Linked DNA regions of Oryzias latipes. The protein of the gene in region 7 interacts with the protein of the main gene of each other region in a biochemical or structural test. Links are inferred from orthologs where the notes say so. Each region holds a gene or a part of one and is shown on either strand. Other genes may lie near its edges. The genes, in order: phb2, nuclear receptor coactivator 7, CCAAT/enhancer-binding protein beta, ncoa6, mta1, flii and esr1.

Region 1 (4,000 bases), on a different chromosome or scaffold from region 7:
CCCACAAACCTGTAGATCCCCAAAAAGTCGACCTCAACATGAGTCTGAGGATTATGGAGAGAAATTTTGAGGATTTAACTTTTGAGTTATTCGATCCAGGATGTTGGTTCTCCTCTCCATCATTGTTTTGGATTACATGTCTGAGTTCTATTACAGCAAAATGGTTAAGAACCTCACAGCTGGTGAGTGTGAGGATGTTTTTGCTGAAAGGATCTGAGCAATCCTAGACAAAGGTCTGCAGATATATGGAGGTTCCAACTACCAGATGATCTGCCTGAATGATCTTCTGAAGGTCAGAAATTAGATGAAACAATGATTCTCCTTTGTGGAATAATGGATTTGTTGTCTTCTATCGTTTTATACTCTTCTCAGACTCATGTTTCTTCTCTGATGTCAGTTTGTGTCTAACACCTGGACACTGCAGAACTGAAGGTCATCTCATCAGCTCTGGCTCAACCCCCCCTCCCCAGGTGATGCAAAAAGAAACCAGACCCTTTAACTCAGTTGGATTTAAGTTTATTTCATAAATTCACAAAAACAACAAATGTCACCGGGATCTTTTGCTCCAACTGGGACACGGCAACAACCAATCCTCAACAAAGGATGACGATCTTCTCATCCAGTCAGGTAGACGGGGGGTAAATGTGGTACTGGTATCTCTACTCCCTTTCTACCCCCCCACCAAAGCAGCTGTCTATCAGTCAGGGGGAGGTCCCAGCTGAGCCGCCATCCTCTTTCTCTCCATCACTTCTTCTGCATCAAGGACAGACTGAAAACACAAGAACCTGGTTCAGCAGCATGAAGGTCAGCCAACGTTAAGGTCGCTGTGTGGCTCCATCCAGATGGACAATCACCAAAACATTGTGGATTAAGATGAAGCTATTAGACTGTGCATGTGGACAAACGACAGTCCACACGCACAACAGCAGTTCATCATCTTGGCGATTAAGAGAAAAACATTCATTTATTGTTTAGGCTAAAGTTAGAGGTCACTTGACTCCATTTTTGCGATCTTATGTATCGAAGAGTTTCCCGCTTAGGGTTTTCAAGACCCTTTCTTGTAGGGGCGTAGCAATTAATCGATTAGTTGATAAATCAATTTCTATTCCTGGGATGAAACCAGATTGATTTGTCCTGTCGGAATGGAATTGACCAATAAAAGGGGAGGAAGGCGAGATGAAGGCCACTGACTTTGAAAATACAGGAGCTAAAACATTCAATCTGGTTTACCATTCCTTCACATCTGCTTTAGATGGTGGGTGGGACGGATTTGTTTTAAATGTGATTCTGATCCTTTTAAATTACCAATCAAATTTTTCTAAATACCACAAACAAGTCTTGGTCTATTGGAAATTACCGTATTTTCCGGACTGTAAGTCGCTCCGGACTATAAGTCGCATGCACCAGACCAAAAATGCATTATAAAGTAGAAAAAACACAGATAAGTCGCACTGGACTATAAGTCGCATTTTGACGGGAAATTTATTTGACAAAATCTGAGACCAAGAACTAATAATTTGCACAACCTTATATGACACAATCATATCAGACTGTTTATCTCATAATTTCACAGTAATTCTTTCTCAAACTTATTTATTTATTCCTTTCATGAAGCATAATTGGCCAACTAATAATCTGTTTTCAGCCTGTATTTGTAGAAACAGTTTTCATTTTTATTGCATTTCTGAATCTATGAAATCATTGGAAAATAGAATATTATGTTGTTAGCCTTCAAGATCTTACTGTAAAAAAAAGTTTGCTGATTCTCTGAGTCACTTAACATACTCTTAACACTTAACATCCCTCAAACATCAAATTGACCCAGGAACATCATCTCTGTTCCTCACAAATGAACATAACAGGAGGGTTAACAATGTATTTATTTGAATTTATTTCTAATATAAGTCGCTGCGGTGTATAAGTCGCACCCCTTGCCAAACTATGAAAAAAAGGGCGACTTATAGTCCGGAAAATACGGTAATCTACATCCACAACTTCGGTCCAAACACCAACTATTTGAGGGGTTTTAGACAAAATATTTGTGTAATGTCTTGTCTTTTGTTTTTAGGATTTAATTGTGTTTTTATGTAAAGCACTTTGAGTAGCACAAGTTGAAAAAGTGCTATACAAACACAGTTTGATTTGATTTGGAATAATCGATCTGTTCTATACAAACAAAAATTCATGTTTTACAAAAGTTAGATGGACATTGTCCACCTAATGGACAGTGATGGCACTTTTCTTAATTCTACAGATATTGAATTGTGGATGTAATATCATTAAAAATGTCTCAAAGTTGGTCTTTCAATCAAAATGAGAAGTATTAATTAAAGGATGAGTAATTACTGCTAAATAATCGTTTTCTTGTGAAACCCGGCGCTTTTTAGATGACTTTTGGGCTGGAAAACCATGACTATCTGGCAACACTGCTTGCTAGCATTACCATGTGAGTAGGTCAGAGCTAGCTTGTTAGCATTAACACATTGGTTGTGTCCAAATTCCCTCACTACTTAGTGCACTTCAGAGGATGATCGCCATTTTCAAGATGTCACTGCAAAAACAAGTATCCATCAGTGCTCACTAGATCGGCATAGACCACAATGGCTTTACAGGTCAGGGTTAGCATGTTGGAAGATCACTGTTAGCATTAGTACAAGCAGGTTTTAGGCTTGTTAAGCCTAAGATGTTGGGAGGTCAGTGCGACCTTTGTGTGTGAACCTACGTGTTGAAGAACGACTGATCCTGCAGGTTCAGGACCAAACCGTCCGCATTCAAGTAAATTCTGTTTTGGGACGCCGCCACCTGGAGGAAACAACATCTTCCGTCATCATCATCATCATCCTCACAGACAGAAACAACTCTTGTGCTGCAGAGGAAAAAACGTCTCTGACCGTCTTGGCAATGTTCTGCGCCGCTCTAATTCTCCTCAGCTTCAGGTAACCTGGGTTCTTTGTCACTGCTTGGCCAAGCTGAGATGCAGACAGATCGATCAGTGTGGCTGAAACCAACTCAACAACTTTTCTTTCAGTCAGAACCTGGTTTTGTCTGAGCCTGACTGGAAGAAACACGTAGACCTTGACGGGTCACCCTGTCGCTTACCATCTTGGCAGCTTCAGCTTCTCCTTCTGCCTGAATGATCTTCTGTCTTTGGTCCTGTTTGGCTTTCTCTACGTAGAACTGGGCTCTCTGGGCCTCTTGCTGAGCTATAGGCACGCACAAACACACACAGACACAAAGGTTGGCTCTTAATGAGGGCTTAAGTCCCATTCACTGTGTCTCAACGGCTTATTTTCTCACTCCGGCTTGTTATTTGCCATCACGTGACTGCAGGCTTGGTTCTACCTGGCGCAGGTGTGTGCCCACTTACCAACTTGCTTGGCCTCCACAGCAGCAGTATACTGGCTGCTGAAACTCAACTCGGTGATGGACACGTCATCCAGGATGATGTTAAAGTCTTTGGCCCTGTCATACAGCTCCCTGCGTACCAGCAAGGACACCTGCTCCAATCAGAGCACAGCGTTAGCAGAGCTCAAGACCTCACTATGGGATGTCGCCTGTTACAGAGGAGAGCTCCAACTCACCTGAGCTCTCTGTGTGATCAGCTGCGATGCGTTAAATTTGGCCACCACAGACTTCAGAACCTCGTTTACAATGGACGGCAGAACCCTCTCATCGTAGTCCTTACCCAGCTGCTGGTACATGATGGGCAGATTGGAGGCTAGAGGTCTGGACAGGACGCGTACGGCGATGTTCACCATCTGCAGGTCTACACACACAACACAAGAAGGTTCAATTTTATTTCACCCAAATGTAGAGGGACCACAATGACACAAGAACCTTACACAGGTGCCCCGAATAACAGGAAGTCCGGTATCACCAGTCATGGATTATACACACCTGGCCCAGGTAGTTAAAAGAAACCATGGCCAGCTCTACATCCAACCCCCAAGCAAAGACAGTGAGAGTTTTACCTTTGCTGCCTGTCAAAGAGGAGATCTTT
Region 2 (3,500 bases), about 8.0 Mb from region 7:
TTTCCATCTAACCTCTACACAGCTTATTAGGTGGAAAGTAATTTTGTATATTTCTGACCTTTTCATTTTAAATAAATACTTTGTCATTATGCTTTATACTTATATTATTATTTCAGTTATTATACTTGTTAAAGAAATAGAACTTGTCCCTTTATCACTTCACCTACAACCAACCTTTTCATGTAAACTGTGGCTTGATTTACTATAAACACGCTGCAACACTGACGCTTGTAGAGGAAACTCCAGGGTCAGCATTTTCTGAGGACATTAGTGCAGCTCGGACTGCCTCGTCATGCCGCCATGACGAGGCGTAGAACCTGTTTACTGCAGGTGCGTCTGCTCCGAGCATGCTCAGTTCATCCTCTGCACTTTGCCCACAACCTTAGACTCCATTAGTGACAGCAGCGTTTCATAAATACAGGCTGCAGCTCTTCCATTTACACTGCTGGCTGAAGGAGGTCTATCATCAGTTTGGTGAGCATGCATGCTAGCAGCAGAGAGTCAGCTGCAAATTTAAAGGTTTATGCAAACGGTGCGTCAAAGAAAAGAAGTTCTGCATCAACCTGAATATTTACAGCTGACTTCAGGTCTTATTTTATTATCTAGATCATTTTTGTAGCTGAAAACCTTCAAAAGTGAGCAATAAATTCAAATAATTTGTTGTGGCTTTTAGTCCTTAAGAGTGTTTATTTCAATCTGCACTCTAATTTAATTTCATGCACAAGTCACACATCCGAAATATTAAAGACCCACTCCGAAGAAAATTGTGTTTTTAAAATGTTGTTGTGGCATCTTTCAGGTGGAGGTCAAATAAAAAGAGGATTAAGATTTTTATTTCATTTCTAAAAAAAAAATGCCGTCTGGGGAAAGAAAAGAATGAAAGAACAAATGGGGGGGGGGGGGGGGGGGCAAGGTTGCTTCTTGCCACAGTCCCACCCACAACTCAGGTGCAACTTTCTAATGAACTCCTGCTGCTCTGCAGAAAATATGTCCTAGAAAACCACACAGTTTTTTTTGTTTTGGGCTAAAGACCCCATAGTAATAATAATGATAATAATAGTAATACTAATGATAAAACACTGGGAACACTTTTAAAACAGATTAAAGTTGATCAGACTGAGACTTCAAATTGTGAACAGTTAGTTGATGGCAGGATAAAGATGTTCATAATATGCTGAAATGCACGTTTTTACTGTCATCAACAGACAGACTTATTTCGTTCAGGGACAGGTTGTGTAACTTCCTGCTTGAAACTGCTGATGTTGCTTCATTACAAATGATTCCTGGATCATGTCAATAGTGTCTCTCAACCGCAAAATAATAATTGCCACTGACCACAAATCATGAATTTTGTAAACCTGCAGCAAAAACACAACACGGAACATCATAACGGCGCTTATATCAAAGCTTCTTTGACTTAATTAAATGTTTAATTCAACAAATTAACACCATTTTCACAGAATTAAGTCAAGTTCTAGTGTTTGCAGTGTTTGCATCAGTTTTAATTCATTAGACTATCTAATCAAAGTGGCCTTTTAATAATGCATACCCCCATACATTAATCTAAAAGCACTTGCAGAAGTCTGTTAAACAAAGAAGTCTGTGCAGACTTTGCTGCAGTCTTCTGTGCATCCAATTATTAGGAGTTTCATAACTGCGAACAGCTAAAGCCAACATTTATATGATTTTTTTCATGCAGAATTAAGCCAAACCTGCTGGCAGCTTTGCTGTTACTGTCTGTGGGTCCTTCTTCTTGTTGGGATCACTGAAGAGTGCTGGGGTTCGCTCATTTGGACTCTTCTCCAATTGGCTCTGCCGTTTCCGCCTGACGAACACCAGAAAAATGGTTAATTCTGACTCATTAAAGGAGAAAAGGGAAAATTTTGTTACCAGTTACTTGGATACTCAGTACATCTTGGTGCTTACTTTTGTTTATCTGTGTACTTAAAACTGACTTGATTTTGTATCTTATACATCTTCAATAAAGTTTTGAAGAAAAAAAAACATATTAGTGTTAAAGAATCTCCATGTCATCACAAAATGTTTCAACTTGAAGATGTTCCATTTAATTCCACCCTATTTTTTGTGTTTCTATAAATGTACATCAAACCATTGTGCAGTAAATAACACATCTCATACTTTACAGTTATGCATGAAACTTTGAAGGACTAATCAAAGTTGTCGTCTCCCTCATTATTATCATTAAAGTTCAGTATTGACGGGTTTGTTGAAAAAATTAGAAGATGCTGCATTTTGATGCAATGGAGCTGAAAGGCCCATATGATTAATGCAACCAACTTTTAGAAAAAGTGGAGAATGCTGCTCTGCAAAGCTCTGAAATGAGCAGAAGCAGCTTCACGACTGTTGATGTGCTTTAATGGAAAGTAGAGACTGGATCGATAATCCTGCAGACAGGATTCCCCTCCCACACATCTCATTTAAACTGAAGCAGCTTGTATCCCAGCAAACACTCACATATTTGTCAGTAGATTCTCAAAATTCCTCCTTTATTGAGCTTCTTTAATTGTGGAACCATTTCTATCGGGTTCACGTCCACCCAGAGCAAATGTTTGGAAAAACTAAAACAGGTTTTGTCAATTCAGAGCTGAATACAGGCAGAGAAGCAACATGATTTGACTTTTTAAAGATCACAAAGGCAATATAAAACAAAATAACTTTAAGACAGCTGCTCAAAGTATGGGTACTAATAAAATAAAAATTTGTTTTGTTTTTCATTTTCATTTTAAACTAGAACAAAACGAAAAACTTTTTTCCCCCCTTCATTTAATAAAATATTGCTTTTAAAAATCCAAAATGTTTATAGTTTCTGCGTTTCATTGTGCCTGAGTAGTTGTACAAGTTTTCGTTTTTTTATTAAACTACAATCTCAACACTGCAAAAACAATAACGCCTTATTAAAGTTTTACGGTGACCGAAGGCCTGCGCTTCATTGTGACCTTTGCTCTGTTTGTCAGGAAGTGAAGCAGAAGGAGGAGGAGACAGCAGCAGCTGCATCGACTGATAAGACTTCTCCTCCACTCACACAAGTTCATTCTGAGGCCAAAAAATAAGCAAAAGCAGCCAAACTTCACAGCTGTTTGTCAGAGATGCAAAAGGAATAAAAGTTTTTCTTTTTAATAAAACACTTAACCTAAAGGAAAAAAAATAGGGCAAACAACTGTATAACATGATAGACAGATAACATGGGTATTAAAAACAAGAATATTTTATGGCTGACTGAACACCAAAAAGGCAAGTTAAAAATTAAAGTTAATTTAGATTTCATTGCAGAATTAATAGTCAGCTGCAATCCTATACTTAGTAGATTTGAGTTTTATTTCTGAAAACAATCTGAATATACAGAATTCCCTATTTGATTTGATTAAATGTTACTTTCCTCCAATCTCTCACAAAGAACAATTCCTTTTGTATAATTTGTGATTTATGCTAAACACAGATAAAACAGTAAAATACTAATTTAAAAAATACCCTTAAAAAGA
Region 3 (3,370 bases), on a different chromosome or scaffold from region 7:
TCAAATCGCCGTTAAAATGCATCATTGCACCCCTACTCAGAAATGTGCAGCATCAAAGTCACGTGTTTTTGTGTAACATGTCACAGGAAAAATTTGAATGCTGATCCAGAATGACATCTCAGATGAAAACGTTGTCTGTATGTGACGCTATAGGAAGAGAAGGGAGCACTCCCATGGAGGCACTACAGATGTCATCTGTCATTCTGTTTGATGGAGCTGCCTGACAGGGAGCTGAAAGTAAAATGCAAACATCGAAGAAAAGTTGGAAGCAAAGGGAAAACTTCAAACTGTTTCAAAGCAGTTTTAATGGAGCAAGAATTAAACTTAAGCCAAAAAAAAAGGTTTTTCACTCAAACAACAAAAAAATGTATACATTATCAATTTAATCCCTTTGATTTATGTGCGATTATATTCAAACATCAGCCAGGCCTGATGTTAAAAGCCTTTAGATACCATTTGGAGTTTTTTTTTCTCTCCAGTACAGTCTTGTCATGATATTCTGCACCGACCGCTTCCTAACATGCAAGTCATGGTGACTTCAAATGGAAAGTGACTACCTCTGTTTTCTTCAGCAAATCACACAAGAAATGTCACACACGTGTCTTAAAATATGCAAAAGATGCTCGAAGCACCAAATTGACAAGTGCTTGACAAGTAATTTTCTAAATACTCTTAGCCACACGGTGGCAGTAAATCCCAATTTGCAAACCAGTTTCTCACCAATAAATAAATTGTAGGTATTTCTTCTCAATCTACGTGCACGTTTAAAGCAAACGTGTAATTCTTATCTGATCTTATTCAGAGTCAGTTTATTTTTGGGGCCTCATGATTGTCCAGGAGAGGCTTCTATTTTGTTCTTGCTGTGAGTCATTGGGTCATGCTTGAAGTCATGTTGTGGGATAACACTGATCCCACGAGACAGTCACATCTGTCTTTGACGACAGTGAAATGTTTCTGACACAAACCAGCACAGTGATGGATGGGGATGTGTGCATCACTTCCACAACTGTTCATTTTTGTTTTGGAAATAATGTGTTCAGAGATGTTTTGATTACAACTGAATGTGATTTTCTGCTGCAGGAGTTAAGGAAATGTGTCCAGAAAGGAGCAAAGTAATTATTTATAATAACTTGTATTGATGCTTACTGACAAACAATGAAAGACTTCACTTTAAATAGACAACAAGTCAAGTTCAGGTTTTCGTTTGTCCCGACATAAACAGATGAATGCGGGAAACGTTCTCCAAAGTGGAACAGGTTGTTCGCTGACAGGCTCCGCTCGTCACACCTGCCCTGTTAGGCCCCGCCCCCCGCGCTGTGGAATAAAACCCTCTCGAGACAGGAAGGTCTGTCAATTCCTCCCAATCCGCCACAGAAAAAAAAAGTTGCTTCTTGTTGTTGCCACATGAAGTGACGCGGGTGCTTTCAGCTCGCTGCATTCCGACACGTTTTCTCCAGTTACTCAGCTGAACTTGAAGAACTCGGGGCGCCTCACCTCAGCCCTGCCCGCTCCTGCAGTCCGGCGGGAGTGCAGATCCATGGAAGTGGCCGGCTTGTACGAGGAGGGAAGCTTTGCTATCCACGGCAGAGACGGTATCATCAGTCCCATCGTCGGCGGCTCGTACTGGCGGCTCGGTGACTCGATGACGGAGCTGGGCATTGAGGAGCGGGAGAGAGCGATAGACCTGAGCGTTTACCTGGACCCAGCCTTCCACTGCGCGCAGCTGGCGGCGCAGACGCAGCCGCAGGGGGACGCGTACTCTGACTTTCTGGCGGAGAGCAAGATCAAGAGAGTCTCAGCTCTCCAGAGCTACAGGAACTACTCTTTGCTGGGCGAGCTGGAGTCGAGCCAGTGCGACCCCCGGCAGCCCTACTCGCTGGGCTACTCGGAGCTGCAGGAGACGCGCGCGGACAGCGTCCTGAGCCCCGAACTGAGCCGCTACAGAACCGCCGCCGCAGCCGCCGACAGAGACGACAACCTGGAAGACGCCAAGATGGAGAACGGCTCGTCCGGGTTCGACATGAGGTCCTATCTTCATTACCAGTCCACCAGCAGCAGTCTGGGGAACATCTCCACTGCGTCCTCCACCTGCTCCAGCCCGCCCGGCACACCTGCGCCCTCAGGTAAAGGCAGGTCACCGTCTCACGGCGGCAAGGGGAGCAGCGGGAAGTCTAAAAAACGATTGGACAAGGACAGTGAAGAGTACAAGCTGAGGAGGGAGAGGAACAACCTCGCCGTGAGGAAGAGCAGGGACAAAGCCAAAATGCGCAACTTGGAGACTCAACACAAAGTGCTGGAACTGGCCGCGGAGAACGACCGTTTACAAAAGCGCGTGGAGCAGCTGTCTAGGGAGCTGGCCACGCTGCGCAACCTGCTCTCAGCAACTGGACAATGTTAGGTACCCCCCTCCCACGAGAGAACCCCCCTGTGCCGCTCCCTCAAGTGGACTGGAGAGTGCACGGTGATCCAAACGGTACACAGGTGAAGGCGGCCATCCCCAGTTTACAATGGACACTGAATAAGACTGAACAAGTGGGTGCATGGATTGCGCAACCGTTCACCACTCTTTACATGTCACTGTGGCTTTTTCCTCACATGTAATGTTTGTGTATGCAGTATTTCTGTGCAGGTTTTACATACATACATTCATACCCTTGAATTTCTAGATTTTTGTGTGTGTGTGTGTGTGTGTGTGTGTCTGCAGCAATGGCTGTCAACGGGGAGAGTTGTGCTGCAGTGAAATGATGCAACTCTTTGTAATAGTATTGGCAATGAATGAAATAAGTCTAATTATTTAAGATTTAAAAAGGTGAAATGCTTTAATTGTACTTGACATTGGATTAAATAGATTTATACTTTGTTTAAAGGAATTTGCACGCTCTTTTCTGTCCTTTCCTCCGCAGGTTTAGGGTGCAGACAGGCACACAGACATGGGCGTTCACACTCAGACTCACACTTAATCCGTTACAGCATATTGCGTTGAGGAAAACGGCTGTTTTTATAATCCAGGTTTGCGTAAAATAAACTACAAATCACGAAAAGAATCCTACAGGCCTTTAAATATTTGAACCTTTGTTGCACAAAACGTTATTAATTAATCATACGTATTTCATTATAAAGTAGAAAATATAGTTCTCTGTAGTTAAAAAGCTTTAAAAAATATAGTTTGGAATCTTTTTAGTCATTGGTTTTTGTCAAATTGCACTTAAAACAAACATCTCTTGCAGATAACCTTTTACACAAAACACAACCTAACTCCTCACACTCTTTTTTTTCCTCTTTTTAAACAGGTTCATTTTCGTTTCTGTTTATTTTAAATAATTGACGCATTCTCCCAAGGGTCCTAAAATAAATCAAACCCATTTATGCT
Region 4 (3,500 bases), on a different chromosome or scaffold from region 7:
CCCCCTCTTTGGGTTTTTTCTTGCGTGGTGGTTTCTTCTTTTTAGGTTTAGCTGGATTTCCTCCACCAGCACCTTGCTTTCCTCCTGGTCCAAACTGGCTGGCAGATATGTCACTTTGCAGCAGGTTGACCAGCAGTGGGCTAGTCAGTGTAACATCTTTATTGACGGGAAAACTACCTTGCTGTCCACATGCCCCTCCAATTGGCATCTGACCTGAGAACTGAGAGTTGAAATTCATGCCATGACCAGCAAAGTGGCCATTTCCCATCTGCATATGCTGAGGGCCACCCATCATGCCTTGCTGCTGCTGCGCCTGCATGTCTGGGACCATTTGCTGGACTCCCAAGTCACCTGTGCCACTATTTGGGTCCCCAATGGTATGTTGGTGTTGCTGAGCTGCTTGTTGCTGTTGTTGCAACATTGCCTGTTGCTGTTTCTGCTGTTGTTGCTGCTGCAGCTGCTGCTGCTGTTGTAGCTGCTGTTGGATGAGATGATGGCCAGCAGGTAGTCTCATCTGCTGCCCATGCAGACCCATAGTTTGATTAGGATTATTAGGGATGGGAGCCTGCTGTGGCTGTTGTTGTTGACTGATCTGCTGATGGTGTTGCTGTTGTTGTAGCTGATGTTGTTGCAACTGGTGCTGTTGTTGCTGTAACTGTTGCTGTTGTAGTTGAGCCATCTGTTGTTGTTGCTGTGGAGTCATCTGCTGTGGGGGCACCTGTCCCTGGAACTGCCCCATGTTACCAGGAATATTTGCGGATGGGCCTCGCATCATCTGGCCCGGCATAACCCCAGCTGGAATCTTGCCTCCGAATGCCTGCTTGTTTCCTTGCATCTGGTTGGCAACCATTTGTTCCATCATCAAGTTTTGCTGCTGCTGTTGCAGGAGCATGGCCTGGTGCCCCTGGCCTCCAACCATCTGACCCTGCCCATGCATCACCCCCTGGCCTTGCTGTGGCATCATTTGCTTAGGTGGGGTCATTCCACCTCTCGGGCCTTGATTGATAGGCCTTGAAAGGACAGTCTGACCTCCACCTTGACCTTGTACCATCTGGCTGGGGGAGGAGGACACAGGCTGGGCCTGATGCTGGAGGCCCATCATCTGGGTCTGGAGGCCAGGTTGCTGCTGACCCATACTAGGTCCAGCAGTTGTGCATGGGGTTGGACCTGCCATGCTGCTTTGCACACCCATGGCATTGGGTTGAACATGAGGTGGTCCCTGCATTGAGCTGGGAGTGGAAGGTGATGGTTGAGGCCCTGATGTAAAATACAAAGGATAGCATAAATGGTTGCATATATCATGGTGTTAATTCTGAAATTATAAATAGTTCTCAACAAAAACATATAAAGCTAATAAAAAGGGGTTTGCTAATAAAAGAAAAAAATAGACTACTATAATTATTGAAGACTGGTGTATTTAAGAAAAATGGATCCCAAGTGACACACAGAGACAAGCTTCAATTCATTTGTTAAAGACTTACTCAAATAAAATATTGTGTTTTTGGTGTTTAATGCATTTGCTTTTGACCTTTTTCTCATGATGGAGGCCATATATAAAAAAGAAAATTAATCTCAAAAATGCATTTCTGGGTATCTTTTTTCAAACTGTTGTAAATGAGGAGCAGACCAAAAAACTGCTGTTTGATTACGAGCTTATTGTGACATAGAAGCTCCTATTGGCAGGTCACAAGTTCCCTGCTCCTCTCCATTCTGATGCATCTACTTATAAACCACAGATCCATGTACGTCTTCATTTTCCTTGTCTGAACTGGCATCTGGCTCTAAACTGTACGGCTGGATGGCTCCAATATTGCTCGTCATTTTTGTTGCACAAGTACTGTCAGGTTAGGGATGTAAGGGGCTGTAAGGTAGTGGGAGAGCGTGGTAAACAGATGGGTGACGGGAAGTGGGAGGGCGTTTGCTCTGCACCAACAGTCCCACCCACAACTCTGAGGCAAACTTCTAATTAACTAGTGCTGCTCTGCAGACACTATGTTCAAGAAAACAACACAGGTTTTTTGAAAATCGTAATTAAAATATCACTGGGAACACTTTTACAATGGCTCTAAATATGAGTGGGGCTTTAGGATTCCAGCTTTTGAATGTAGACTTCTTCGATTGATTTAAAATCCTTGTTTTCCCCTTTTTCTTCTATTTTCTGTTGAGAACTCTTACTTTGCTCCAACTCATTAGATGAACCAAGTGTTTAGCTTAACATTAACGTGTCTTTTGTTAAATAGAAAACCTGTAATCTTAAATAAACTTAATGTGACACTGACATACCAGATAAACATTTTAAAATGAGTGAAGTTAAAGAAAAAACAAGAACGAGCCTTTCAGTGTGAAGGCTAAAGCTATTAATAGCAAATTAAGTGTTGACAAAGCATAATTAAGAATGAATTGGAATGAGCTGCAACTGCCGCATCGCTTCAAACTAGGTAATTATTTAAGGCATCAAACATGGTAGACAACATGCTCAATTGTGCAACATGATGTTGCAAAATGGGAATTGTTGCATGAAGTGTGTTGTACCATTTGATGTGCTACAGCACAGAAAACGAAGTGAAGTAAGTGAAAATGTGATACAAATGTGATGCCATGTCAAATTCTCTAACCAGTCTGAGCTATTCTGATAGTAATTCCCATTCTGGGTTGATCGAAACTTCCCTATGAGAATTCCACCCTCAGTTTCTGAGCAGACAGCATTTAAGCCACTACCTGCAGCAAGTAAAGTCAGATACTTTCTACATCATAAAACAAGCATTTTTCTTTTTGTTTAGAGATCTGTAGAAGTTTTACCTGCTTGAGACATTGCTTGGTTGGTCTGCAGTTGCTGAGTTGCTCCTCCACCAGGAGCTCCTGGAGTGCTAACACTCACCTGACCTTGAACAAAGTTAGATGTTGGAAAACCCATGGGACGCTTTGCCATGCCTAGAATTGATGATTACAATGGTCATTTTGGATAAAGATGATCAAGAAAAAGTGAACTTCTTTGACAGGTTGTTTTTTTTTCCATTGGAACAACAAAATACTAACCAGAGTTACTAACCTGGGTGAATTTGGCCCCCCGGTTGTCCATGCTGGGGCATTCCAATGAATCCTTGCTGCATGTTGCCCTGTTGGCTGAGGGCTGCTCTTCCTGGTGAACCAACACCCTGAGGAAAACCCTGTGGAGTTGTGGGTCTCTGAGCCATCATAGGAGGAGTACCTGGAGAGCCCTGCTGAAAAGGAGATGAAGACGATCCAGGCGACTTAGCTGCGAGGTTGCCCTGTGGTCCAGAAGTTTGTGGAAGGGGTGGAGGGGGGCGAGTTAGTCCTGTGACACCACCAGGTCCAGCCTGTTGGCCTTTAGGCTGAGGGGCAGCAAACTGGCCCATTCCCGGTTGATGTTGTTGCTGTAACTGTCCCTGTCCCATGGCATTGAACACCTGCCCAGCCTGCTGGCTGCCAAACGGATAAGGGGGTGGAGGATGACTGGGGGTCTGTACAGTAGCTAGGGA
Region 5 (4,039 bases), on a different chromosome or scaffold from region 7:
CTCCTGAACTCTAGTTCAATAAGCAGAAGCTGTGTTTGCTTCTATGCTTTACACACAGCCCATCTTTGGTAATTAACACTTTCTCTGGTGCGAAGCATTGAGGAAAAACCGCTGTGTGCACCGGATGAGTGGCTTGTGGCCTGCGCTGTGCAAAACAAAGACATGAAGGCCAGAGGAGCCTGCTTTTGTCCAAGTCTTTTTCAAAGGAAGTCCTTCCTAAGATGGTTCAGCAGCATTGTCTTGCAAAGTTGAAGGCAACTCTTTAAGGCTCTGCTTTCTTCTGATGATGACCTGGAACCGGTTTCAGGAGAGGCAGGGTTTATTATTGGCTAAGTCTAGATTACTCCTATCAGTTATTAATTAAGACGTCCTATTTTTATGACTTATGTTTAATGATTTTTGATTAAATTGGGTAAGTTTCATAATCCTAAGATGTTTTCAAGTATTTTATAAGAAGCTAAATGGATTTTTCTTTTTCCAAAATGACAAATTAGGGAGTTTGTGTAAACAGCTTAGACCCTGATTGATAAATTTAATTACATTTCCTGAGCTGCGGTGCAACAAAACAGAGGCAACCCAATACAAGCTCAGTGCATTAAGGCAATAAATAAATAATACATCTGCACAGTTAATTACAATTTGCTCAGATGAGGAATTTAAGCCCTGCTGATGGATTCTCCTCTAGAGAATGACGATGAAGGTTTGGACCAAATTAGGCAACACTTTGGCAGAGGGAGGGTTAACCTTCTACCCTGATCTGGGCATAATCCTGTTGCCAGTCAGGTAGATCTGGTTTAATTTGACTATAGCTGATCCATAGAAGTCCATCTAACTCCTACATTTGATGGGACGATTTTTTGGTCAGAACAAGCAAATAGATCCATAAAGTGAAGGTAATTCTTCTTCATCATCGTTCCTCTTTCCCAGACGTGCACACACTGGTTAGATGTACTACAAAATGTGGTTACTCAGCCTGTACAAGCGGTTATGACCAAAGAATATCAATACATAGATTAGATAAATAAACTCAGCTGTAAATTGCTGCACCTGCTGCCAGCTCTTCGGGGATACGATGACACATCTCGAGACAAATGACAACTTCATCCAAGCCAAAGAACGTCAATTGTTCAAAAACCCACACAGCACCCCATCTAAATTACTCGCAGAAAAATCGCCCACTCAACACTATATTTACGTTCTAGTTGTGAACTAATTCAGTCAGTGTTTGTTTTGATGAACGTTTAGGAGGGTAAGTAATGCAAAAATCCGACAAATTCAGGTGTTATTTCAATGCCAATACATTTAAAGAAGAAGATCTAATTCAAACTGGATTTAGGGGTGAAAGAAAAACATTAAAAATAAGATTTAAATTAATTTTGAGCATCATTATATGTATCTTTACAAAACTTTTTTATGAAGTCCTAACACAGAGAAATGTGTACCATCGAGATAAATATTATGGTATCAAAATGTTTCAAATTAATGGTTTTTTCAGTTAGTTCACATATCATTTTTACACCAGTCTACAAGTTTTTGATACATTTTAAAAACATAAACACACATTATTAAATTAATAACTAGAAAAGCATCTTTGTGTGGATTATTCTATAATGACCACTGTTGTCAAGATAGCTTATGTTACAATAATAGAAAAAAAAATTTATTTAAATCCCAAAAAACACTTCCTAATTTCTAAAATTAAACCAAAAACCTGTTGTTGTTTTTTGCTTGTTTAAACCTTTAACACACAAAACAAGACATTTGTAACATTTTAAAGGGTATTTTTAAACATTTAAACCACAACAAGAGGGCTAATATATTTACAATAATTTATAATGACATTATTAGACTTTGTTATGTGAACTTTCACGTGTTTTTTTCCCCTGTAGGATTTGAATCTGAACACAGGCAGAGAACGAGTGGGTGGGGAATCTTAATTAGGTACTTTAATCAATTGCCTGTTTAAAAATATTTTTAAATTATTATGGAAATAAAATAGCTTAGCGATGGATGGGCATGAAAACCATCACTAAAGTTGCCAGTTTGGTGTTCCCCAAATGTTTTTGGTAGAATTGAACTTTTTGTCCCAGCAGCCTCCTTCTCCTTCAGCTCATGGATGCTTTACCTGTCTCCGTTGGTCAGTCAGTGAAGTCCTCCTGGCTGCTACTCCGAGCAGAAAGCAGTTTAAACGCACGCAAAACTTTGGGGAAAATGTTCGCCATGATACCTTCAAACAGGAGAGAACCTAAAGCATTTCACTAAAGTGCGCATCCCCACACTGAAGGAGTTGTTTGGCTCCACGCTGAGCAACAAAACACAGGCACAAAAGAAGCTACCAACATTTCGTGATTAGAAAAAAAAAAAGATCTACTACTCTTCATCACCATCCTCCTCTTCACACCATCCTCATCTGTGGAGGCACAAAGCTCTTTAGCTTTTTGGGAAATAAAAGATCTCGCTCTGTGAATAATGGCGAGCCCGCCATAAAATAACGAAGACGGGGGTGTTCCAAAGAGCCGAACCCGTGTGCGCTTACCTCCAACCCGGTACATGTTCGCTGCCATGACTGCGCCCCGGTCCCTGGCTTCCTCTCCAGGTAGAGGGGTGGCTCTCTTCTCTGTGGCGCTGCCGGAGCTGCTGTGTGTTGGAAAATGGTGGATTGATCAATACGAAACAGACTGCCAGAGACGTCTTAAAGAGACAGTACACCTCTTTTTCGAAACCTCAAAATTTGGGCACCCGGACGTGGATAAGTGAACTCACAATTTCAACAAATATTACCTTTAAGTAGCGACACATGACATATTTCCCAAAACGTGTAATTTATACAACGAGAAAGTGACGTAATCTTCCTTAAACGCGTCTATGTAAGTCGTTTTTATGAAAATGTCAACTTCAAATTTGACAATTGAATGTACACTTTTGTTTAAAATCACAATTTTGCTTGTCAAGAAAGATAATTCGACTATTATTTGAAAATCCCAACATTGCCTCAGTTATTTGCGGCATAGAACTTAAACTATCGCGATACTTTAAAATAAAAAACAAAAGTTCTTGGATATAGAAATGCGAACATCACCTGTGCTTATGTAAATAAATGTACTTATTTGCTGTTTCCCTATATATTATGTAGTTATAGGAGTTTTGATTATAAATAATAACTCTGAAATAATTGTCAAATTAAGAATCTCCTTCTCAATCATCTTTTTTATTTGTTTTAAAAGTATCCCTAAAGAGTTGCCGTAGTGTTTAACTAACTGCACGTGCAACCAAAATAGAGTAAAACTAGTAATTTTTCACACTTTTTAAAATTAACTCAGGGATTATTTTTATAAACAAAAATAAGTTCCATAGAAGTAACATTTTCAGAAGCAACAGAAAATGATAAATTGGAGAAATTGTTGTTTAAATATGGCATAACTTTACAGACTTTAGATTTAAATAGTAGCCAATTGGTGATTGGATAAACATGATTAATATTATGCTAAAATGTTTAATTTTAATCCAATTTTTACTTTAAAATATGAAATATTTCACCCTAATTTAATATAGTAATATATTCATTATATAATGGCTCATATCTTTGTAATATAAAGAACTGTAAGAAAATAGTGAACGCTTTTCATAATTTTTCTGTTTCCTGCTAAAGTTCGTTTTCTTGTATACTTTGGCAAAGAGCGTCACACCTGCCACGCAAGAAAAAATTAGACAATAGATCATCAATAAATCCTCCAATGTATAAACCATAAACATGTAATTTGTTTTGTCATTTAGCAAATTGAATTTCATTTATTTGACGTTACATGAGTGGGTGTTATGCCAAACAGTTGTCCAAATTAGCCCAGTTTTCAGTGTGGATGCAAAAAGGAAGTCACTGTGCTGCAGGAATGCTGTGGTGAAGGCAACATCTGATCTATACCATATGGAAGCTTCAATTACCATGGCCTAACACGGGGGACTCTGCTTGTGATCACATGAGTGGATCAGGCCAATCAGCTGTGCGTGCCTCATGCACTCCTACTTATGTGTGCAGTCTCCG
Region 6 (4,015 bases), on a different chromosome or scaffold from region 7:
GAGAACAAAGGTAACCACAGAGGACAAAACATGGCACTGTATTAATATTTCTCAGACTAAAAAACGAGAATTTTATAATATTACAATATTTAACTCATACTTAGTTTTACTGTGGGAATAATCATGTACTTATTTTTCATTTATCTGCTTTACTTTGCTAGTTTAGTAGCTTCAGTATATATATGTAGCCATTTATGACTTTGGTGGCTACCTGCAACACTGGATAAAACCAAAAATTCTGTTCCTGGATTCTATTTCCAGAGATTATGTGACATTTGGAATCCTTCTGCCAAATACATAAGATCTCTGTTGTGATTTAGTCCTCTGCTTAACAATTTTTTACTATGGAAAAGAAGAGTGCTGAAAAGAAACTTCATTTTCAAATGTTTTTTTTGTTAAACTGGAAATGTGTATAAAATCATTAAAATATATCAAAATACAAATGTGTGAAAACGTATGGGAAATGTCAACAGAATTTCCAAATTCTGTGAATTTAGATATGTGGGGAATGTATACGTGTAGTGATATTTTCTTGTTAGTATGACACTAATGATTACCATAACAATATGTTCTTTAGCTTTTCTCGACTATTTGCTTGATTTAATTTTATTTTCCTTTTAAATTGGAACAGTTTTTAAAATGTTATTAAAGATTAAATTTTACAAGATGTAACCTTAAAAAAGCTCTGCAGTACTAAATTTGGGTTTACTTTGTGTTACCACTATTTGTTGCATTTGTTCTTTCTAGCTGCATTCACTTTATTTATTTGTTTGTTTGTTTTACCATATGTTAAGCTATTATTGTCATGTTTAAGGAAGATGATTTGGAGAATCAGGAATAAAGGGCCGAAACAAATCGGACTTTAATCTTAGAATTTTGAATTTAATCACAGAATTCTGATGGTCTGGTGGTCAGAATTCTGACTTTGATCTAGGAATTCTGAGAAAAAAGTCAGAATTCTAAAAGATTTAAGTCAGATTTATGCTCCTTGGCCCTTTATTTTATTATTATTATTATGACCCGCGGCAGCAGTAATTATTATTTATTTATGACTTATTTTCTATGGCTGTGATCTTTCTGCGTACAACTTTGTGGCTGCAATCAAGTGTGACCTTATAACGACAACGGGGAAAGGGGAGCTCTCCAAATAAACAAAATGCATTTCCTCTCGAGCCAGAAGGGGGCGGTAACAAATCTACAGTCTCTCCCTCCCGACCCAAAATAGTAGAGGTTTGAGCAGTTGACATCAGCGAGTCAGAAATGGCTGCCACCGGAGTTCTTCCCTTCATAAGGGGAGTAGACCTCAGTGGAAATGACTTCAAAGTAAGATTCTTTAAAACTACACTCGCATTATTTATAACTCTAATTTTAGTCATATTAAATGAATCCTAGGCTAAGCTAGTTCCTGTATGAGAATTGTTCACCTATACTATAGCAGGGAAAGTAGCTAAGACACTAGCATAGCTTAACATGATTGCGAACATTGGTTGGGCGTTAGCCTCTTGTTAGAAAAAACACTCCCGTGTGTGTCAGACACCACCCTTTGAGCAGTATGCGGAATTGTATTTAAGGCAGGTATGTTTGTTTAAACAATAAAATAAGAGCCGTAACTCTACAGGAAAACAGTTTTGAGTTGCTAGGGTAGGGCTACAGCACTTGCCACTCATCATCATACATATCACTACTACTCTGCTTGTTTAGTTAGCGTACTTTTGGCTAAGTGTATTATTGCTTAAGACATTCACTTTTGATCTAAATTGTTCAAATGTTTGGGATTAATTTAGAATCTTTTGTTAAAGGTGAATGTTGGCGCTTGTTGGGTTGTTTTGTTAACCCGGTGTTGACATGGCTTTAGTTAGTAAGTTCTGGTTTTCATCGAGTTAGTTTAAGTTAATTTAAACACAGGGGAATTGATCACCTCACCGAACTTTAGACCCGTCACACTCACAGCAGGTTAAGTTTGTATCCAAGCCCCGTTTAGGTTGATTATTATGGGATTGCAACACTGTTGTCAACAGTGTAAACTCAAGTTGTTGCTGTCAATCAGTGATCCTGGACTTAAAAAGAAATACTGAAATGGCAGGCGTTTACTGTTGTCACAAGGAAGACTTAATATTTCCATTTTTATTTAACTCAGTTGGATAATAATAAAAGTTTGACATCATGCTAACTTTTTTTTGAGCCTGACTCACCAGATTCTAAAGGAGTATTGGAACACGTCCGAATTTGCTGGCGAATAATCTTTTTGATGTGTTGTTTTTATTTACCTTTCGGCATATCCCTGCAGGACTCGCCAAAGAAATTCCGCTTTCATTTATTCCCTTCCTGACAGAACCCTCTATTTTAACCGGGCTATGGACTGGCACAGGGAGACCCAGACTTGGGCCCCTTTGTGGCTGCATAGTTAAGGAGCCGCGTTAAGGGTCTTGTCCAAGGACCCACACTGGATGAAACTCATCGCGATCCCTGGTTTCCCATGCGCCAGTCCTACGCGCAGCCAACCGAACCATCCAACCGCTAACTTTTTATTGTGTTAATTTGTTAAATTCAAGGCATTTGTCTGTCTGTAATGTTAGGAAATCCAGATGTCAGCATGTGTCATGCAGCTTCTGTGAAAACACTGCCAATTTTTATCTATCCATCTGTCCGTCCGTCCGTCTCAATGGAGTTATCAGATGTGTGTAAATCTGGAATGATTTTGTTGTGTTGGCAAACAAGTTTCTTTGCCTATCTCCACAGGGGGGTTATTTTCCTGAGCATGTAAAGTGTATGAGCAGCTTACGATGGCTGAAACTGAACCGGACAGGACTTTGTTATCTTCCAGAGGAGCTGGCTTCTCTCCAAAAGTTGGTAAGAAGATTCAAAAGGCTTTTGATGCTCCTCTGAAGTTTTTTTTCTGACCTGTTCAAGCCTCTCACATGTGTGCAGCTGGCAGTGGACTTTCTGTCAATATAAAAAAAGTGTTTTCTTTACACGGTTCGCTGCATATAGCTGATGATCATAGAAATGAAATTTACATTGTGTGAAATCTGAGCTTTAATTTGTCATCTAATGACTCTAATCTGCATTTTAAGAGTAAATTTACACCATATATTTATTAATTTACTTCTGAGGGATTCACATTTCGATAAAGTGCTTTTATTGAGAATGTTTAGAACTATATGTTGTTGATGTAAATTCACTGGATGCTTCATCCACATAGCAGTGAGTCTGGACACGGTGGGACAGTTGTCACACCCCAACAACACCCCAGCGTACAATCTTAAAGACTTAAAGACTGACTCCAATGAAAATTGTGTTTTTAACATGTTCCTGTGGCCATTTTTCATAAAGGATGAGGACATATTAAGAAAATTAGTATCAAAACTGCATTTCTGAGTATTTCTTTATTCACATCGTCATGAATTAGGAGCAGACGAAAAAATGGCATTTGAAGATTGTATTTGTGACGTACAAAAAATATGCAGGGTGGGCCACAAGCTCCCTGCTCTGCTCCATTCTGTTGTATCCACTTGTAGACAAAGAGATCCATCTTTTCCTTGTCCGTGATTATCATAATTGTAAGACGACTGGGAAAAATAGATCACAAGAAGATTGGAGTGGGACTTGAGGCAACTGACTGCAACTAAATGCCGTAATTATTAAGAAATGGCCCGCAACTAGCTCCCTAGCAGAGCGTCAAAGCCCACAGACACAGACGATCTCTGTTGTAATAAATAAGCAACTGTTGTGTTGAAGGGCTTCAAGGCTTTAAAATACATAAACATGACAAAGAAGCCCTTCTAGCTGCCCCAACAGGTACTTAATGTCAACCCATATTAGAAGTTCCCATTAGAATTGCTACTGATAACAACTTCTTTCTAAAATCATTGTAGTTTAGTGTATGACAGCTGTATAACCGGCACATTATATATTTGTCTCAAAGTGGTTTTAAATTGTAATTTGTGATTTTACTCTTAGTGATTACGTTTTGTTGTTGTTTTAATTTGTATTTTTCAGTAAAGATATTTGAATT
Region 7 (2,966 bases):
CAAATTTGACATTCTATTAAAAAAAGCGGGTTTATGATGAATCAGTCCATGCAACAGTCACAGGATGCCAATTACTTAAGTGATTACTGTCCCTTCTTTGCATATATTTTTCACACTTTGTGTCTTTTAGCCCTGGGCTAACAAAACTTACAAGATACAGCAACGAGCTGATAAAGTTGAAATCTAACATTCATGATTGCACAGCAAAAATGTCCTAAATAGCTCAAAACTAAAATGAGTTTTAGCCTCACTCCTCTTAGAGGGCATAAAATGAGTCATTCTGATAAAACGGAGCATTCCAAGTAATAAATGAAAGTGTGACTTCATTTGTTTGAGACTTTCCAATTAAATGTAGCCAGAAAACCCTGATTTTTCCAATTATTTTTTGCTAAATCTGTAGAAACGAGTTACAAGTAGCAGATTTTCACTCATGCCTTTGATTTAGAGCTGAAACAGTTGAAGTACAAGTTGATTCTTGAAGACGTTCATTATCACTCATGTGAAATAGAAACAGGAATTGCCTTTTTAATTTTCACAGAATTCAACATTTAAATGAACTTTTAGACAATTTAATCAAGGTGCAGTCAGTCAACTTGTGGACGAAAAGTACGTTTGTGGCTGAGATGTACAATACAAGGCAAATCTGTGCATCAAAGCATTAGATTCTTTCTCAGCGTTCATAAGCTACAGTGCTAGAAAAACACGGACAAGTGCACAAATGTTCAACAAGTAGCAAGTTCAGAGTAAATGAGCTGCAGGCACAGAGAACAAAGTCCTTTCCAGAGATAGACGTGGATAACAAATTTACCCAGCTTTCTACAGCGTGTCTTCAGTGCTCTCAGGTTTGATCTTGCCTCTTTTGTTTTTAAATCTTATTTTAAAATTGCATTTGTGGGTAAGTTCTACACAAAATCTGACAATTACTCTCATTATTCTTAGCCATCCCATATGTACAAGAGACAAAATAATGCCCATTAGCCCCTTTAATCCAAGAGGAAGTGCACTTGGGTCAAGACGGTTACAGAAAACATTAGCTGCTCATTTTCTTGAAATCACCAGAACTCATGGGACGCAACCTTACAATCTACCACATGCTGTTTGGAGAGCAAAAAAAAGCTGCTAAAGAGACGCTCAGGTTTACAAAGGAGATGAATATAAGCAGATTAAAGTGACTGCACAAAAGCTGGACCAAGCAGAGGCAGTTCATTGTGGGAGCTTCTCCTCTCAGCGCCACTCTTATTTATAAATAATTCTTAAAATTAAATCAAGCATCACCTTGTCCCAACCTGAACCCTTGAGCCACAAAAAAAGGGCCTTGGACTGTGTGCTCAGTCTTGAAGGGCCGGGGTGCAGTCAGGACGCGACCCTCCATACTGAAGGACACTGGGAGCAAAGGGGCCTCTGCTCGGACTCTCGATTCTGCCTCGAGATGCTGATATAGAACCGGGAGCGATTCCACCCCCGCCGCTGCTGGTGGAGGGAGGGTCTCTGTCGACTTGGGACAAGGACTGGGGTGCTCTGACGGGGTGGTGCAGGCGGTGGGCATCGAGCATCTCCAGTAGGAGGTCATAAAGAGGGACTTTGTTCTTGCACTTCATGCTGTAGAGGTGCTCCATGCCTTTGTTGCTACAAACAGGAAGAGGTAAAGATGCAATTAAAGTTTATTGAAACTTTAAAAACTTTTCCTTTCATATTTTTTTTCTTTTTAGCTCATCACCACTTTGGAGTTGAAATTTGATTGAAACTACAAGAGTCTCATATGGGTTGGTCTGGTAACTGGTGGTTTGGTTTTACCTCATGTGCCTGATGTGGGAGAGCAGCAGGAGCAGCTGGGCCTGCCGTCTCGCCTGCTCCTGGGCCAAGTAACCCGACTGACTGATGTAATGAATGAGTGCGTCTGTGATGGTGTCCAGCATGCTCTGAACCGCCGCGCTGTTGTGAAGTGGCTCCATGGTGCCGGTGCAGAAAGAAAAAGCACCTAACAAATACATGAGCTCATCAGTACACTGCAAAAAATAAAATAAAAAAAAAAGCAGCATCCTCATCTCGATTAATTAGCCTCAGCGATGAGCCTGAAATCTAAAATATTTTTTTTTTCAGATGCACAATGAAAGTTCGTCCTGCTCCAGCAGCTGATGCTCGTGTGTCATCTCGATGATATTTGCCCCCCCCCCCCCCCCCCCCCCCCCCGTTTCCCATATAAAATATCTCAATCACCGGGATAAACACGGCCCCCTATGCTGTCTCATGTTGTCATGACGACGGGTATCAAGCGTATTGACGGTGCAGCCCTCCTCCAGAACACTCTGTTCACCTAATGTGTCTGAGCAGCACTCAGAGGTGCCCGCCTGTGGGTGTATGATGACACTGTTCAATATTTACTCTTGCGAGCAAAGAAGAAGACATGTGACGATGTGCCCACACAAACACAACTGTCAAACTTTGGAGCTGAAATGGAGGCAGACATTCTGCTGTTTGCCCACAGTTTCTGTGAAGTCGTTTCACAAGAAGCTTGCGTCAAAAGAGAATAACAAAAAAAAGTAAAAAAAGTAAACATCATTCCCGTCACAATACAATGGCCTACCGGAGTTGAGTAAAATAATAGCTTTGAGGCAGACGAATTCCTCAGGTTTGAGTTTGAGCACACGGAAGCGGGAAGCAGTGGCCAGCAGCATGTCGAAGATCTCCGTCATGCCTTCCACGCAGTCTCCCTCATTCCTAAAAGCCAAAAACAAAAAAAGTCAAGGCTGAAAGTTGAGAAACAGTCTCTAGAGGCAGAAAGATGAGCTGTGGTCTGCAGAGCATCCTTGCAGAGAATCCTCTCAGAACGAAGAATCTGACCTCATCTGCAGCTGTGAAAGTGTCTAAACCCCGGCCAGATACACAAGTAATGGACGAAATCACTGTCACTCTCCATTTGTCAGCTCAGCGGAAAAGTGAGGGTAAGATGGATAATATCTAGCGAA

What was found.
Region 1: the proteins of esr1 (region 7) and phb2 form a complex in vitro, tested with the Homo sapiens proteins (3 studies listed by BioGRID). The link is inferred for Oryzias latipes from reciprocal best matches to the Homo sapiens genes ESR1 and PHB2.
Region 2: the proteins of esr1 (region 7) and nuclear receptor coactivator 7 form a complex in vitro, tested with the Homo sapiens proteins (2 studies listed by BioGRID). The link is inferred for Oryzias latipes from reciprocal best matches to the Homo sapiens genes ESR1 and NCOA7.
Region 3: the proteins of esr1 (region 7) and CCAAT/enhancer-binding protein beta form a complex in vitro, tested with the Homo sapiens proteins (2 studies listed by BioGRID and IntAct). The link is inferred for Oryzias latipes from reciprocal best matches to the Homo sapiens genes ESR1 and CEBPB.
Region 4: the proteins of esr1 (region 7) and ncoa6 form a complex in vitro, tested with the Homo sapiens proteins (4 studies listed by BioGRID). The link is inferred for Oryzias latipes from reciprocal best matches to the Homo sapiens genes ESR1 and NCOA6.
Region 5: the proteins of esr1 (region 7) and mta1 form a complex in vitro, tested with the Homo sapiens proteins (4 studies listed by BioGRID). The link is inferred for Oryzias latipes from reciprocal best matches to the Homo sapiens genes ESR1 and MTA1.
Region 6: the proteins of esr1 (region 7) and flii form a complex in vitro, tested with the Homo sapiens proteins (2 studies listed by BioGRID). The link is inferred for Oryzias latipes from reciprocal best matches to the Homo sapiens genes ESR1 and FLII.

The regions. Positions count from the first base shown.
Region 1 is NC_019862.2:5,437,998-5,441,997, reverse strand, and holds the end of phb2 (prohibitin-2), read right to left. Parts: coding exon 3,972-4,000; intron 3,767-3,971; coding exon 3,582-3,766; intron 3,498-3,581; coding exon 3,368-3,497; intron 3,204-3,367; coding exon 3,100-3,203; intron 2,970-3,099; coding exon 2,892-2,969; intron 2,803-2,891; coding exon 2,723-2,802; intron 770-2,722; coding exon 745-769; 3' UTR 501-744; downstream 1-500.
Region 2 is NC_019882.2:16,951,100-16,954,599, reverse strand, and holds part of nuclear receptor coactivator 7, read right to left. Parts: intron 1,826-3,500; coding exon 1,713-1,825; intron 1-1,712. UniProt on the Homo sapiens protein: Enhances the transcriptional activities of several nuclear receptors. Involved in the coactivation of different nuclear receptors, such as ESR1, THRB, PPARG and RARA.
Region 3 is NC_019865.2:21,871,284-21,874,653, reverse strand, and holds CCAAT/enhancer-binding protein beta, read left to right. Parts: upstream 1-1,341; 5' UTR 1,342-1,537; coding exon 1,538-2,398; 3' UTR 2,399-2,870; downstream 2,871-3,370. UniProt on the Homo sapiens protein: Important transcription factor regulating the expression of genes involved in immune and inflammatory responses. Also plays a significant role in adipogenesis, as well as in the gluconeogenic pathway, liver regeneration, and hematopoiesis.
Region 4 is NC_019865.2:14,778,078-14,781,577, reverse strand, and holds part of ncoa6 (nuclear receptor coactivator 6), read right to left. Parts: coding exon 3,050-3,500; intron 2,932-3,049; coding exon 2,800-2,931; intron 1,258-2,799; coding exon 1-1,257. UniProt on the Homo sapiens protein: Nuclear receptor coactivator that directly binds nuclear receptors and stimulates the transcriptional activities in a hormone-dependent fashion. Coactivates expression in an agonist- and AF2-dependent manner.
Region 5 is NC_019880.2:4,694,886-4,698,924, forward strand, and holds the start of mta1 (metastasis-associated protein MTA1), read right to left. Parts: upstream 2,801-4,039; 5' UTR 2,782-2,800; intron 2,667-2,781; exon of another isoform or gene 2,638-2,666; 5' UTR 2,565-2,637; coding exon 2,537-2,564; intron 1-2,536. UniProt on the Homo sapiens protein: Transcriptional coregulator which can act as both a transcriptional corepressor and coactivator. Acts as a component of the histone deacetylase NuRD complex which participates in the remodeling of chromatin.
Region 6 is NC_019866.2:18,081,530-18,085,544, reverse strand, and holds the start of flii (protein flightless-1 homolog), read left to right. Parts: upstream 1-1,215; 5' UTR 1,216-1,260; coding exon 1,261-1,323; intron 1,324-2,739; coding exon 2,740-2,850; intron 2,851-4,015. UniProt on the Homo sapiens protein: Is a regulator of actin polymerization, required for proper myofibril organization and regulation of the length of sarcomeric thin filaments. It also plays a role in the assembly of cardiomyocyte cell adhesion complexes.
Region 7 is NC_019882.2:8,948,422-8,951,387, reverse strand, and holds the end of esr1 (estrogen receptor), read right to left. Parts: intron 2,719-2,966; coding exon 2,585-2,718; intron 1,979-2,584; coding exon 1,795-1,978; intron 1,627-1,794; coding exon 1,329-1,626; 3' UTR 501-1,328; downstream 1-500.